3 linked regions of the Callithrix jacchus genome follow. The protein of the gene in region 3 interacts with the protein of the main gene of each other region in a biochemical or structural test. Links are inferred from orthologs where the notes say so. Each region holds a gene or a part of one and is shown on either strand. Other genes may lie near its edges.

Region 1 (5,882 bases), on a different chromosome or scaffold from region 3:
CCGAACAGTAGTCCATTGTATAGTCTAATGTGTTCTAACATACCCCTTGTTTGGATATATGATGTTTTGTTTGCCCGTTTATGAGTTGATGGACAACTGGCTTTTTCCCACCTTTTGGCTGTTATGAAAAAGTTGCTATGAACGTATTTAGCAACATTATTCATAACAAGTTTATGAAAGTTTTCGTGGACATTTGTCTTCAGTTCTCTCGGGTGTACGCTGAAGAGTGGAATTGCTGTTTGACCTTTTGAGGAAAGCACAGACTGTTTTCCACAGCGACTGCTACACTTCCACTCCCGCCGGCAGCGTGCCAGTGTCCCACGCTCACATCCCCCACAGTGCCGATGGTTGCTGGGCTTATGGCAGCCAGCGCCGTAGGTGCGACATTCTATCGCTATGGTTTCAGAGCTTGTCTGACATGGATGCTCTTCACTGGAGGAATGTCTGTTCAGTTCTCTCGCTAACTTGGTAGTGTCCTTGCAGACAAAAGTTTTAAGCTTCCCTTCGTTGCTTGTGAATTACGTGATGGAGGACAGGAGCCACCCAACCTCTTGGTTGTTAGGAAACCTCTTGGCAGGCACGGTGGATCACTCCTGTAGTCCCAGCACTTTGGGAGGCCGAGGCGGTAGATCACTTGAGGTCAGGAGTTCAAGAACTGCCTGGCCAACATGGCGAAACCCCCAACTCTACTGAAAAACTACAAATATTAACCAGGCATGGTGGTGCGTGCCTGTAGTCCCAACTACTCAGAAGTCTGGGGCAGGAGAAACACTTGAGCCCGGGAGTGCAAGCTACAATGAGCCAAGATCACAGCACTGCGCTCCAGCCTGGGTGACAGCGAGACAGAAAAGAAAGAAAGAAAGGGAGGGAGGGAGGAAGGAAGAAAAAGAGACCCCTCTTTTCTGTTTGAGCTGTTTCATTTTGGGCCTCTCTGTCCCAGAGGTTTAACCTACACTAATACAGAGCATCTTTTAGTAAAGGTTTGTTGGTTATTTCTTTCTGCTTACACGAGATGTCTTTATTTCACCCTCAGTCTTGAAATGAAATCTTGGTGTGTGTTCATTTTTGGTTTGAACTGAATTATTTTCTGGAACATAGTGAGGAGGAGAACAGGGTCTGGAGGCCAGGAACCTAGGGGCAATTCAGGCTGACTCCCTAGAACTCAATCAAATGGAAACACCAGCTGTGACAGGAAATGTCCTCTCCATTTATATAGGGTGTACACCAAGGAACCAGTGAAAACTCCTAGAGGGTATTTAAACCCCCCAAAAAGCTGTGTAACGGGGCCCTTAGCCCCTACTCTCGGCTGCACACACACTGTGAAGTTACTTTTTTTTTTTGAGACGGAGTTTCGCTCTTGTTACCCAGGCTGGAGTGCAATGGCACGAACTCGGCTCACCGCAACCTCCGCCTCCTGGGTTCAGGCAATTCTCCTGCCTCAGCCTCCTGAGTAGCTGGGATTACTGGCTTGAGCCACGGTGCCTGGCCATTTTTTTTTTTTAACATGGAACACTTCATTAATTTTCAGGTCATGCTTGCACAGGAACCATGCCAATCTCTGTGTCATTCCAATTTCAGCATATGTGCTGCCAAAGCAAGCACTCTTTTTTTCTTTTATTTTTTGAGATGAAGTCTTGCTCTGTTGCCCAGGCTGGAGTGTAGTGGTGTGATCTCAGCTCGTCGCAACCTCTACCTCCCGGATTCAACCGATTCTCCTGCCTCAGCCTCCCAAGTAGCTGGGACTGCAGGCGTGCCCCACCACACGCAGCGAATTTTTTGAATTTTTAGTAGAGAGGGGGTTTCACCACGTTGGCCAGGCTGGTCTGGAACTCCTGACCTCAGGTGATCTGTCCACCTCGGCCTTCCAAAGTGCTGGGATTACGGGCGAGAGCCACCGCACCCCGCCACACTGTCATGTTCCTATAAATCTGTTTTCGCTGCTTCAGTCTTTCCTTGCTTCGATGTGCGTTTTGTCCAGTTCTTTGCTGAAGACGTCAGGAACCTGGGCAGCCTTCGCCGGTCACAGCAGCAGTTCGCTTTCCATTTGTAGATGTTTTACGTCCACCCTGGCTTTTGCAGAATCCGGGCAAGGACACAAAGTAGATGCTCGACGATACTGGTCTAGATATTGAAAAGTTATAAATAAAATAATGGATCAAAATTGCACTGATTGTTTAAATGTGCTTAAGTCCTATGTACCTGAAAATGAAACTCTTGCTCATGTGGCGTCAATGGCCAGGCCGCTGCCACCGTCCCGCGCCGGGCGCTGCAGACGCGGACCCGGGCAGGCGCCGCCATTGCCCCGCATCAGCGCGGTCTCCCCGCGGCCGGCCGGCACCCCGACGGCCTGGGCGGAGGCGCGGGAGAAGGCGGAGGAGCCTGGAGGGTGCTGGGCCCAGGACGAGGACCCAGGTGCGCCCTTAGATCCGCCAGCGGGCGCGGCGCTGGGGGCGGGGCCTGCAGGAGGACGCCCCGCCCACTCCGCCCGGGCCGATCTCGCGATGCCCTCCTGGTCTCGCGGCACCGGCCTGTGGGCGGGGCGAGCCCTGAGTGGTGAGGCGCGGGGGCGGCTCCCGGGCCGGGCGAATAGTGGAGAGAGCCATGGCCGCTCTTCGTGTCCTGCTGCCCCGCGTCCGCGGCCCACTGAGGCCCCCGATCCACAGCTCGGTGTGGCGTCCCTTCGCCTCGGGTGAGTGCCCGGTGACAGCCGGCGACCCGGATCCCCTCCGACTCCGACCTGCACCCCCGGCCAGACCTCAGACCGCACCCCCTCCCGCCGGACCCCACATCCCCACCTAACCCCGACCCTCACCCCTCCCGCCGGACCCCGCACCCCCACCTGACCCCGACCCTCATCCCCCTCCCGCCTGATCCCGCACCCCCACCTGACCCCCTCACCCCTCCCGCCGGACCCCACATCCCCACCTGACCCCGACCCTCATCCCCCTCCCGCCTGATCCCGACCCTCTCCCCTCCCGCCGGACCCCGCACCCCCACCTGACCCTGACCCTCATCCCCCTCCCGCCTGACCCCGCACCCCCACCTAACCCCGACCCTCTCCCCTCCCACCTGACCCCACACCCCCACCTGATCCCGACCCTCATCCCCCTCCCGCCTGACCCCACATCCCCACCTGACCCCGACCCTCACCCCTCCCGCCTGACCCCGCACCCCTACCAGACCCCGACCCTCATCCCCCTCCCGCCTGATCCCGCACCCCCACCTGACCCCCTCACCCCTCCCGCCGGACCCCACATCCCCCACCTGATCCCGACCCTCTCCCCTCCCGCCTGACCCCGCACCCCCACCTAACCCCGACCCTCTCCCCTCCCACCTGACCCCACACCCCCACCTGATCCCGACCCTCATCCCCCTCCCGCCTGACCCCACATCCCCACCTGACCCCGACCCTCACCCCTCCCGCCTGACCCCGCACCCCTACCAGACCCCGACCCTCATCCCCCTCCCGCCTGATCCCGCACCCCCACCTGACCCCCTCACCCCTCCCGCCGGACCCCACATCCCCCACCTGATCCCGACCCTCTCCCCTCCCGCCTGACCCCGCACCCCCACCTAACCCCGACCCTCTCCCCTCCCACCTGACCCCACACCCCCACCTGATCCCGACCCTCATCCCCCTCCCGCCTGACCCCACATCCCCACCTGACCCCGACCCTCACCCCTCCCGCCTGACCCCGCACCCCTACCAGACCCCGACCCTCTCCCCTCCTGCCTGACCCCGCACCCCCACCTGATCCCGACCCTCATCCCCCTCCACCCTGACCCCACACCCCCACCTGATCCCGACCCTCATCCCCCTCCACCCTGACCCCACACCCCCACCTGATCCCGACCCTCATCCCCCTCCCGCCTGACCCCACATCCCCACCTGACCCCGACCCTCACCCCTCCCGCCTGACCCCGCACCCCCACCTGACCCCGACCCTCATCCCCCTCCCGCCTGATCCCGACCCTCTCCCCTCCCGCCGGACCCCGCACCCCCACCTGACCCCGACCCTCAACCCCCTCCCGCCTGACCCCGCACCCCTACCAGACCCCGACCCACACCCCTCCCCCTGACCCCGCACCCCCACCTGACCCCGACCCTCATCCCCCTCCCGCCTGATCCCGCACTCCCACCTGACCCCCTCACTCCTCCCGCCTGATCCCGCACCCCCTACCTGACCCCGACCCTCATCCCCCTCCCGCCGGACCCCACATCCCCACCTGATCCCGACCCTCTCCCCTCCCGCCTGACCCCGCACCCCCACCTGATCCCGACCCTCATCCTCCTCCCGCCTGACCCCGCACCCCTACCAGACCCCGACCCGCACCCCTCCCCCTGACCCCGCACCCCCACCTAACCCCGACCCTCTCCCCTCCCACCTGACCCCACACCCCCACCTGATCCCAACCCTCATCCCCCTCCCGCCTGACCCCACATCCCCACCTGACCCCGACCCTCACCCCTCCCGCCTGACCCCGCACCCCTACCAGACCCCGACCCTCTCCCCTCCTGCCTGACCCCGCACCCCCACCTGATCCCGACCCTCATCCCCCTCCACCCTGACCCCACACCCCCACCTGATCCCGACCCTCATCCCCCTCCCCCCTGACCCCACACCCCCACCTGATCCCGACCCTCATCCCCCTCCCGCCTGACCCCACATCCCCGCCTGACCCCACATCCCCACCTGACCCCGACCCTCACCCCTCCCGCCTGACCCCGCACCTTCACCTGACCCCGACCTGCAGCAAGGAGCTGGCGCTCTGTCCTGTTTGAGGCTTACCCTCGATTGTTGGCATTTGTCGAAGGAGGGTGCTTCCTGGTGCCTTGTCTCAGCAGAGTCCAGGGCCGTCTCCAGTGCAGTGTCCTGGGAACAGCTGACCACGGCCTCTTGGGAGAAGGAGTGTGGCTCTGGGCTATGTTCTGTGCTGGGGATTTTTCTTCAGGACATGCTCAAACACACGTGAAAACAGAGAGAACCGTACCAAGGCCACCATATAATCATGTGGCTGAGAGCTACACCTGGAGCCACTGAGCACTGCTCAGGGAGCCCTCGGAGGGCCTCTTGGGGTCACACTCTATCCGCTGATGGGGCCACATCCCTTCTAGAAGGGAGCATCAGGAAATAATCACAATGTGAAATGATGACGCTGCTTCCTGATAGGCCAAGACCAGCCCCCACTCTCCTCAGTTTGATCCCTGTGTGAACAGATCCCTCTCTGCCCTCTCGCCCGTTCTCTTCAGTTTGATCCCTGTGTGAACAGATCCCCCCTCTGCCCTCTCGCCCGCTCGCCTCAGTTTGATCCCTGTGTGAACAGATCCCCCTCTGCCCTCTCGCCCGCTCTCCTCAGTTTGATCCCTGTGTGAACAGATCCCCTCTCTGCCCTCTCGCCCGCTCTCCTCAGTTTGATCCCTATGTGAACAGATCCCCCCTGTGCCCTCTCGCCCGCTCTCCTCAGCTTGATCCCTGTGTGAACAGATCCCCCTGTGCCCTCTCGCCCGCTCTCCTCAGTTTGATCCCTGTGTGAACAGATCCCCCTGTGCCCTCTCGCCCGCTCTCCTCAGTTTGATCCCTGTGTGAACAGATCCCCTCTCTGCCCTCTCGCCCGCTCTCCTCAGTTTGATCCCTGTGTGAACAGATCCCCCTCTGCCCTCTCGCCCGCTCTCCTCAGTTTGATCCCTGTGTGAACAGATCCCCCTCTGCCCTCTCGCCCGCTCTCCTCAGTTTGATCCCTGTGTGAACAGATCCCCCTCTGCCCTCTTGCCCGCTCTCCTCAGTTTGATCCCTGTGTGAACAGATCCCCCTCTGCCCTCTCGCCCGCTCTCCTCAGTTTGATCCCTGTGTGAACAGATCCCCCCTCTGCCCTCTCGCCCG
Region 2 (5,919 bases), on a different chromosome or scaffold from region 3:
AATCTGTGCACATGGCCAGGCTTGGCCTAATAAAGGAAGTCTCACGTTCTGTCTGGATGTGCACTGAGGGTGCGCCCAGCATGGCAGTGGGCATATTCTCCCAAGATTGAAGCTCAGCTTGAGGGGCCACCTGCCCTCCAGGACCAGGAAAGGCCTCCCTGGCTTAGCACAGTTGCATGCCCACCCGGCAAGGGTCCCAGGCCTGCTCTGTCCCTGCAGCCCTGGCTGGCTCTACCAGCTTCCGTGGTCCTGGCCACCTTGGTTAGGGGTGCAGGCAGACAGCACAGACCACATCCCATCACCTCCCTTGGCCACATCTGCTGGCCTGGGGGACAGTTTAGTCTCACTTCCCAGATCCCTATTCTTGTTCTCCAGGGAGAGGAATCACAGGGGCTGGAGGTATGACAGGCTCTGGACAGGCCCTGTGCCCAGTGCTGTCTGCCCACCAGTGCCTGGCTCAGCCTGGTACAGCGCCCTGCCCTGTTCCTCTGTGAGGCTCTGCTTTCATTTCACCTTACACATGAGGAAACTGAGGCTCAACCAGGTAAAATAATTTGGCCAAAAAAACAGCTCACCCAGGAACTTTGGCCCCAAGCTGTAATGCCAGCCATGGGGCTTGGAGGTTAGGAAGGGATCTGACTTGTAACAGATTGGCCTGTGGGAGAAACACTCCTATCAGCTGGGGCCCAGGAAATCCACACACACAGTTAGAGCCCCCAATAAAATCAGCCAGCTTCGGCTGTGTGTGTGTGTGTGTATTTCTTTTTGAGACAGAATTTTTTTTTTTTTTTTCCAGAGTTTGGGTCTTGTTGCCCAGTCTGGAATGCAATGGCGTGATCTCTGCTCACAGCAACCTCTGCCTCCTGCTGGCCCTGTATTTTTATTCCTGTTTAAAACTAAGAAAACAGTCATGCACGGTGGCTCACGCCTGTAGTCTTAGCACTTTGGGAGGCTGAGGTGGACGGATCACGACGACATGAGCTCGAGACCAGCCTGATCAACATGGTGAAACCCTGTCTCTACTAAAAATGAGCCAGGTGTGGTGGCACATGCCTGTAATCCCAGCTACTCGGGGACTGAGGGAGGAGAATTGCTTGAACCCAGGAGGCAGAGGTTGTAGCAAGCCAAGATTGTGCCACTGTACTCCAGCCTGGGTGACAGAGTGAGACTCCATCTCAAAAAAATAATAAAAAATAAAACAGGCACAAAGAGGGTCAGGAATTTCCCCTGGTCACATAGCCAGCAGTAAGAAAGCTAATGTGTAGCACTCAGGACAACTGTGGTTCTCCTGGTTCCACAGGGGCTTACACTCCCTATCATGGGAAGACTGGGTTGTCATCCATACAGGAACACTTGGAAATGAAAGCCCCCATCAAAACCCTAACCCAGGGCAGGCACAGTGGCTCACGCCTGTAACCCCAGTACTTTTGGAGGCCGGGGCAGGTGGATCAGTTAAGGTCAGGAGTTGGAAACCAGCCTGGCCAACATGGTGAAACCCCCTCTGTACTATGTAGCGTGGCATGGTGCTGCATGCCTGTAGTCCCAGATACTTGGGAGCCTGGGAGTTGGAGGCTGCAGTGAGCCGAGACTACACCAGTGCACTGCAGCATGGGCGACAGAGCAAGACTCTTCTCAGAAAATAAAACCCTCACCCACCCTGGGAGGGGCGGGGCCGGCCCACCAGCGCTGTTTCCTGGGCTCAGGAGGCTGCTGGCACCCGTCTTCTCTGTGCCCGCCTGGCCCGAGGTCCCCAACCTCGCGCATAGGAAGCTGTGCCGTCCGCCCACTGAACCGAGCCCCGTCTCAGCCTCCTCTATTTCATCTGTTTTTCATTTTTTTGAGACGGTCTGGTCCAGTCCCCCAGGCTGGAGTGGAGTGGCGCGATCTCGGCTCACGGCGGCCTCAGCCTTCGGAGTAGCTGGGATCGCAGGCAACGTTTTGTATTTTTAGTAGAGACGGTTTCACCATGTTGCCCAGGCTGGTCTGGAAACTGACCTCAGGTGATCCGCCCGCCTCTGCCTCCCCGGGTGCTGGGATTACAGGCGTGAGCACCGCGTCCGACCCTTAGATCGTGGTAAACGCGGCGGCGTGTCCTACAACTGCTCAGAAGCCCTGTCCCTAAGGAGGCCGCGTCCGTCACCGGTGCGCGAGGCGGCGGCGGCTCCAGGCCACGGCAGAGGCCGCCATCGACGGCCAGATCACTCGACTACGGTGACACGAAAAGAACCAACGAGCAGCGCCCGGGACGCAGCTGAAACGCTCCAGGCCCGGAGCGGGGACAGGCCCTGGCGGCGGTACCCGGCGGGCAGAGCGCGGCTGCGGGGTCCGGGCCACACGGATGGGCAAGGCCTGCCAGGACCGAGTGTCGCCCGCTGCGCGCCCCTTCCCCGGCATCAAACCCCGTCATCCCCGCGGGGCACAGGTGCCTAGCGCTCCCAAAACCTGACCCGGACCCGCCAGAGACCGCCCACACGCCACGGCTGAGGCGGGGAACTTCCGGAGAGCCGCAACGCGCAGGCGCCGTACGACAGGCCCCGCCCCCGCCGCTCGCGCCAGGAGTGCGCAGGCGCCGCAGCCAGCGCCCCCCGACGCCAGGAGCGCGCAGGCGCGCGGTCCGCTGAGTTTTCTGCGCTTCCTTCTCTCTCTCTCCAGACGTCGTGGTCGTTGGGTCCTATGTCGCGCCGGGCCCTCAGGAGGCTGAGGGGGGAACAGCGCGGCCAGGAGCCCCTCGGGCCCGGCGCCCTGCAGTTCGACCTCCGTGATGACGATGACGCGGAAGAAGAAGGGCTCAAGCGGGAGCTGGGTGGCCGGCGCCCCGGGGAGGCAGGGAAGGAGGGCGTCCGAGTCAACAACCGGTTCGAGCTGGTGAGGATCGCGGCGGCCGGGGTGGGGGCGGGGTGGGCCGTGACGTCGCGGGGCGTGGCGAGCGTCCAGTCTGGTCGGGGAACGGGGGTCGTGATACCAGGGGTGGATCGGGTGACGTGGGTCCCGGCTGCAGTGGGGAGGGCGGGGCCGTGCGTCGGGCCGGGGCGATGGGGGTGGGCGGTGGCGTGAGGTCGAGATAGCTGGACGCAGAGTTACATTGGGTTCGAACCCCAGTGAGGTGGGCGGGATCATACTACCGTCATGGGGCGGGGCCATACCGTCGGAGCCGGGCGACCGAATGACGGGGGTAAGCGGGGCCCGGGCTGTGAAGGGGGTGCGGCCATGATGCGAGGGGCGTGGTCAACGTCCGTGGGGCGGGGCCACGACGTAGGCGGGGTTAAACGGGGGTTCTGGCCAGCGGAGCGAGGGTGGGGCCTTGACACTAAAGTGCGTGGCCAAGGACATGGGGGAGAGGTGATGGCGTGGGCTGGGTTAACTGGGGACTGGGGCCACCGTGGGGGTGAGGCCATGGGGTAGGGGTAGGGGTGGGGCGCAGCAGTGCAGTGGGTCTTCTCCGAACTTGAAGGGCCTTCTCTTGGTTCTAGGGTTGAGCACTCTCGGTCAATCCTCACAACAACCCTGCCTAACCCAAGGCCTCCTGTCTTGCTCCTCGCTGTATCTCAGGCTGCGTGTTTCTGGCACAGAGTAAATGGTTTGCCCATGCGGTCCTGTGAGGCTTTGTCTTAAGTCCTGGCCTTGGTGTGTAACTTGGCCTGTGCGGGCTCTGCAGTCCTCCCACCTCAACCTCCTGAGTAGCTGGGACTACAGGTGCATGTCACCATGCCCAGCTAATTTTTTTTTTTTTTTTTTGTAGATTTGAGGTTTCGCCTTGTTGCCCAGGCTGGTCTAGAATTCCGGGGCTCAAACATCTGTCCACCTCAGCCTCACAAAGTGCTGGACTACAGTTCTGAGTCACCATGCTTGGCTGACTGCCTTTCTGACATCAATTCCAACTTCAGGGTCCCCAAGACCACCCTCAAGTTTCAGTAATTGGCTAGAATCACAGCAGTTACTGAAAACTTTTTTTTTTTTTTTTTTTTCCTGAGATGGAGTCTTGCTGTTGCCCAGGCTGGAGTGCTGGCACAGTGCTAGCTCACTGCAGCCTTGAACTCCTGGGCTCAAAGATTCCTCTCACCTGGCTTCTCAAAGTGTTGGCATTATAGGCGAGCCACTGTGCTCAGCTCCGTAAGTCCTTTTTTTTTTTTTTTTGAGATGGAGTCTTGCTCTGTTGCCAGGCTGGAGTGCAGAAATGCGATCTTGGCTCACTGCAACCTCCACCACCCGGGTTCCAGTGATTCTCCTGCATCAGTCTCCTGAGTAGTTGGGATTACAGCTGTGCGCCACCACGCCCGGCTAATTTTTGTACTTTTAGTAAAGACAGGGTTTCACCATGTTGACCAGGAAGGTCTCCTGACCTTGCGATCCGCCTGCTTTTACCTCCCAAAGTGTTGGGATTACAGGCGTGAGCCATGGAGCCTGGCCCCCCCATAAGTCGTTTTAATTTTGTCAATATAATTTGTCAAAAATTGTATCACATTATTTTATTTTACACTTTGTTAGTGAAATTCAGCAGGTAGCTATGTATTTGTTGATTTGTTGGCCTTTTATAGTCTCTTTGTGACAACCCTTTTATATCCTTTGCTTTTTTATAGAGAGTTTAAAAAGTCTTTATGTTCGTGAAAGCTCACTACCGATTCTCTTTAACGTATTTTCTCAGTTTGCATTTGTTCTTTCACTTCCTTAATTTCTGCCGAAAGATACTGGAGCCGCTTTTGTAACTGTTACAAGTCGGTCTCTCTGTGATGTCTTCACATAGATCTTTCCTGATGTGACTTTATGCAGAGTCTTGTCTTGTTTTTTTTTTGTTACAGACAGGGTCTCTCTGTGTTGCCTAGGCAGGTTGCTGGTCTTGAACACCTGGGCTCAAGTGACCCGCCTGCTGCGGCCTCCTGAGTAGCTGGGACTATGGTATACCATACTGTGGCCAGCTTGTTCTTTTAGTGCTTTTGTTTTTCATTTAAATATTTAATCTTCTTGGCATTTATGTTTGTGTTGGTGGGAATTTGGAAAAAGTGTGGCTTGTAAGTTGATGGAATAAGAGTCCCTAAGGTCAGAAACCACATTAACCCTTGTGGACTTCCTGGAGTGAGTTTGGAGTGTCAGTAACACTGACAGCCTGCGTGGATGAGTGACTGCTCACCGTGCTTGTGTTCTCAGCCATGTCAAGGAGTTTTATCCCATGGTACACGTCAGTCCCATTTTAAGCATTCTATATTTTTTTGCCTTTATAACTCACATTTGGAAATAATACAATGGAAATGTTTATTGGTGTTCTGCTGTGAAATTAGCTCGTAAGAAACAAGTGTGAGAGACATTAAACAGACACTTAGAACTGAATGGTTCTAAATGTGAATACTTTGGTGAGAGACACGGTGTGTCTCTTTTTTAAAAAAAAAAATTATTTATTTTTTGTTAGTTCATGTCTTTTATTAACTGTTACTTGTCTTCTGGTTTGTTGAAGCGGTAAGACAACATTTGCCACAATAATGTCTGTCAAAGTGGCTTGCACCACGTTCATCAGAAGGGCATTCTCTACAAAGGTGACTAATTCTGCCACTCTCATCCCCCTTACGATATTTCAGGACAGCCAGCCTAAACTTCTTTCTCTTGCGCTTATTCTTCGTGGGGTGGCGTAAGACTCCTTTTTCCTTTCCTAGCACCACCTCTCAACACAAGACAAGAGTAGTCTCCTTCTGAACGTTGTAGTCAGACAAAGTACGTCCATCTTCCAGTTGCTTGCCAGCAAAGATCAGTCTTTGCTGATTGGGAGGAATTCCTTCCTTATCATGAATCTTGGCCTTTATATTTTCTGTTGTATCCGAGGGTTCCTCGAGGGTGATGGTCTTCCCCGTAAGGGTTTTCATGAAAATCTGCATTTTGGTGGCGGCCCTACCTGAGGTGCAGATGGCGGATCAAAAAGGAAGCAAAAATTTA
Region 3 (3,936 bases):
GGTCAGTGTGTTTCTCCCAGAGCGGGACCATGACCAAGGCAGCAACCATGACATCCCACTCCCGTGCCCACCAGCTTTGAACCTTTGCAGTGAGTCCTGGGCCAGTGACCCTTGCTCTGTAAGTGATTCTGGAAGCAAGATCTGGATGTGCTCCTGAGCTCTGGTGGAGCCCGTGGATGGCAGCCAGGAGCTGATGGAGTTGCCAGCTTGCAGGTCGGGCTTCTGGAGGAAATGGGTGTGCAGCACCCAGGTCCTTGGCGCACCTGCCATTACCATCCTAACCTTTAGCTGTTGCTGCTTTTCTGTCCCCTAAAGCCAGATTTTACCTTTTTCCCACCACAGGGAGAAAGAGGCCCCAGAAGCCAGTCTAAAGGGGGCCCTGGCAAGGCCATGTGGAGTAGAGGCCTCTGGACATCCCAATTTGCAGGAGCGCCTTGGCGCTGTGCAGGCCACACACACACAGCACAGAGGAGGAAGGGCAGTTAGTAGGTGCTCAGGGTGGGGCACCCCCAGGGCAGGGAGGCCACACTGTGGCCCAAAAGGAAACTTGCTGCGCATCTACCGGTCCTGCAAAACTGTCCAGTTTCCAAAAACGTACTGCTGACTGGGGCAGTAGGTTTCCCATGTAGTATATGATCCTGCATTTCCTAAGGAGAGAAGAATCACAGGGAGCTTAGTGGCAAGGGAGTTGAGTTAAATGCGGTCATGAGCCATTCACAAGCAGACATTTGGGTCGAGGGTGTTTTCAAGACCCTTTGGGGACCGAGTCAAGGATGCCTGATCTGATTGCCTCTGTGGCCTTCCAGGGAGTCAGATTCGCACAGAAAAAGCTCATGGACATGAACTCATGCCCACAGCTCGACTTTGCTCTTTATAAAGCCTAGGCTCATAGGCGGGGCCCTCAGGAGAAGTGGTGCATCTGAGCACACCTGGGAGAGGACTGGCAGGCAGACACATTCCCGTCCCCTTAGCCAGCTCTGCCTTCCTCAGATGGCACCGGATGGGGGTCCCGGCCCCACCCAAGTCGGACCCCTGTGAGTTTCCTCAGACCCCTTTCTCTGCAGGGTGCTGGTGGATGCTGCTGTGGTGGCAAAGGACACGGTGGTGTGCAGCTTTGAAAACGAAAACACGGAGTGGTGCCTGGCTGTCTGGAGGGGCTGGGGCGCCAGGGAGTTTGACATTTTCTACCAGTCCTACGAGGAGTTGGGCCGGCTGGAGGCTTGCACACGCAAGAGAAGGTAATTCCTGTGGAATGACAGTCACGCGTGCAGAGCTGGCTGGTACCGGGCTGCAGCCTGACCCCTCTGCCATCAGCCTCTAGTTCTCCAAGGCCCTAGAAGACAGATGGAGTTCACCATTGAACTCCTCGCTGCTAAGAAGTGCTGAGAAGTGACCTGCCTGGTGGTGGTGGTTCCAGGGTTCTCCGGTTTTCTGGAACAGAGTTATCTGAATACCCCATACCCCGACTGCTGATTTTACAGCCCCAGGGAAGACAGTGGGATCTGGCTGGGAGGGGCCTCCTCTGGCCTCCTCCATCAGTCTCCTGGAGCAAGGGTGGAGGATCCTATTCTGAGCTGGCTCAAACAAAGACGGGCCAGGCCTTCCTTCCATCCCCAGGTCTCAGATGGAATTACACTAGGGGCCCTCTGTTGGGAAGCAGTTGAGGTAGAGCAGGAGGTGGGGGCTGTGACCCCTGCCCTTTCCCCCCTGGAGACCCCAGGCTCTCAGCACATTTCACAAGCTCCTGAGGCCCCCAGGCCTGGGCCAGCTTGGGCAAGCCAAGATCAGATGTCTCTGTGTTCAGGAAGGTCTCTGTGTGGGAAAGCCCTCCGAGGACCCTGGGTGAGTAGTGCTGCCCCCATCCAGAGAATGAATGAGTTCCTTTAAGTTCACAGCCAGAAAACCCAGGGTTCCATAGTACAAGGGCACCAGCTCAGCCTTTACATTCTTCTCCAGCGACAAAAGGAAGGAGAAACTCAATCAGCAGTACTTGAGAAAGGGCCTTGTGTTTACAGCTTTGTGAAGTAAATTTGGACGCAGCTGGAGCACAAACCCTGTTTGTTTGCACATAATAATCTTGTTTATCACTTTAAAAACTTCAGTAATATCTCAGCGGTCAGGCTTCTGGTTGTGAAATCAGATTGTATGGGATTTATACCAAATTATGTATTTGCTAAACATTCACTCCACACGTGTACAGCAGAGTACGAAAAGAAAAACTGTCAACAGGATTTACGGATACAATAGCAAATATGTTATAAATTATGCGCGTGCATGCATTACGCTCAGGCACACCACATAGGCACACGCACGTGCAAACAGAGCCACTTTTTTGTCCAGAGTTACCGTTTGGGGCTCCTTCAATCAGAACGCAAGTTTGAATAGAGATCATACTCCAGCTGAAGTTTCTTGACCCTTTTCTAAAATTATAAAGATCAAACTGTGTATTTGCTGGAGATGCAGGGAGATGAGGCTCTTGTAACCTGAAAATAAACAGATTCTTTCAAGAATGAAGCTGTAGCCTCTGTCTTTCGAGCGCTTATGACCACAGCACAGGCTCAGCCCCTGCCGGACCCACTCGCTGGCTGGGAGTAACGGGCAGCCCCTCCTCGCCCACTGTGCCTGCATGCAGGTGGTCCCTGAGCAGCTTCCATGGGTGGAGACCCTGCTCTGTCAGTCACAGCCCTGGAAAAAACAACAATTCCCACTTTTTTTTCTTTTTACCAGTCTGGGCACCAAGTCCCAGGGGGCTGAGGGTCTGTGCTTACTGCCCTCCTCCCTGCCATTCTTTCACCCTCGTCCCACAGGATGGCTGCAGGGGACCAATTCTCCCTTTCCTCTCATTTCCAGTGCACCACAGCTGCCCAGTTCACCCCCAAATGCAAGCCAGATTCTGTCTGCCCCACGTCCCAAGCTTGTACTTGGCATCACCTGAAGCCACACTGCTTTGTAGGCACCAAACTCGCCCTCTCCTACTCCAGGAAAAGCCCAGCCCCGGGCCTCACAGAGCCAGGGGAAGGGATCTCTTCACACCACACTTAGAAATCGTATGGGCCTCCAGTCCCAGCTACCCAGGAGCCAAGGCAGGAGGATCCACGGAGCTCGGGAGCTGGAGGTTGCAGTGAGCTATGATCACACCAGCTTTCTAGCCTGGGTGACACAGCAAGACCCAACTCTTAAAAAAAATCATACAGGAAATGACTAATGAACTCGACTCCATGAAACTGAAACTTACATGGAAAAATTAGTCCAAAGCTTGAAAGTATCGATTGAGGAAGAAAAAAATATTTGCAACACAAATGAGAGACCAAGAGCTCACTTACCTTTATTAGAGAGAACATAAACTCAATAAGAAATAGAAAACCCAAAAGGCAAACAGGTTAAGGGCATGGGCAGCAATTGAATTACAAAGAAACAGACCCTTAAACATCAATGCTTGACCTCACCAGACAGCAAGGAAACAGACCTGAAGACTTGAAGACAGCAGTAAAATGTCACTTACCACCCTCGGATTGGCAGAGATTAACCGGCCAGCAACTCCTTCTTGAATACCTACTAAGTGTCAGGCACTGTCACTGGACACACAGACAAGAATCTTTGTGGGGTTTTTTTGCATGTTTGTTTTTGTTTTTGAGACACAGTCTTGCTCTGTCACCCAGGCTGGATTGCAATGACACCATGGTCTCAGCTCACGGCAACCTCTGCCTCCCAGGTTCGAGCGATTCTCCTGTCTGCCTCAGCTTCCCGAGTAACTGGGACTACAGGCACGTGCCACCACACCTGGCTAATTTTTACCATGTTAGCCAGGCTGGTCTCGAACTCTTGACTTCAGATGATCCTCCCGTCTCGGCCTCCCAAAGTGTTGGGATTACAAGTGTGAGCCACTGTGCCTGGCCGAATCTCTACTTCTAGGAGCTCACAGGAGGAGTTGACAAT

The links. The genes of interacting proteins can lie anywhere in the genome.
Region 1: the proteins of LRRK1 (region 3) and ECHS1 form a complex in vitro, tested with the Homo sapiens proteins (2 studies listed by BioGRID and IntAct, with this or other methods). The link is inferred for Callithrix jacchus from reciprocal best matches to the Homo sapiens genes LRRK1 and ECHS1.
Region 2: the proteins of LRRK1 (region 3) and TCF25 form a complex in vitro, tested with the Homo sapiens proteins (2 studies listed by BioGRID and IntAct, with this or other methods). The link is inferred for Callithrix jacchus from reciprocal best matches to the Homo sapiens genes LRRK1 and TCF25.

The regions. Positions count from the first base shown.
Region 1 is NC_133513.1:126,692,519-126,698,400, reverse strand, and holds the start of ECHS1 (enoyl-CoA hydratase, mitochondrial), read left to right. Parts: upstream 1-2,584; 5' UTR 2,585-2,601; coding exon 2,602-2,689; intron 2,690-5,882. UniProt on the Homo sapiens protein: Converts unsaturated trans-2-enoyl-CoA species ((2E)-enoyl-CoA) to the corresponding (3S)-3hydroxyacyl-CoA species through addition of a water molecule to the double bond.
Region 2 is NC_133521.1:47,506,023-47,511,941, forward strand, and holds the start of TCF25 (ribosome quality control complex subunit TCF25), read left to right. Parts: upstream 1-2,621; 5' UTR 2,622-2,673; coding exon 2,674-2,865; intron 2,866-2,932; exon of another isoform or gene 2,933-3,163; coding exon of another isoform or gene 3,164-3,172; intron 3,173-5,919. UniProt on the Homo sapiens protein: Component of the ribosome quality control complex (RQC), a ribosome-associated complex that mediates ubiquitination and extraction of incompletely synthesized nascent chains for proteasomal degradation.
Region 3 is NC_133507.1:8,918,279-8,922,214, reverse strand, and holds part of LRRK1 (leucine-rich repeat serine/threonine-protein kinase 1), read left to right. Parts: intron 1-1,064; coding exon 1,065-1,238; coding exon of another isoform or gene 1,239-1,242; exon of another isoform or gene 1,243-2,507; intron 2,508-2,850; coding exon of another isoform or gene 2,851-2,935; exon of another isoform or gene 2,936-3,140; intron 3,141-3,449; coding exon 3,450-3,912; 3' UTR 3,913-3,936.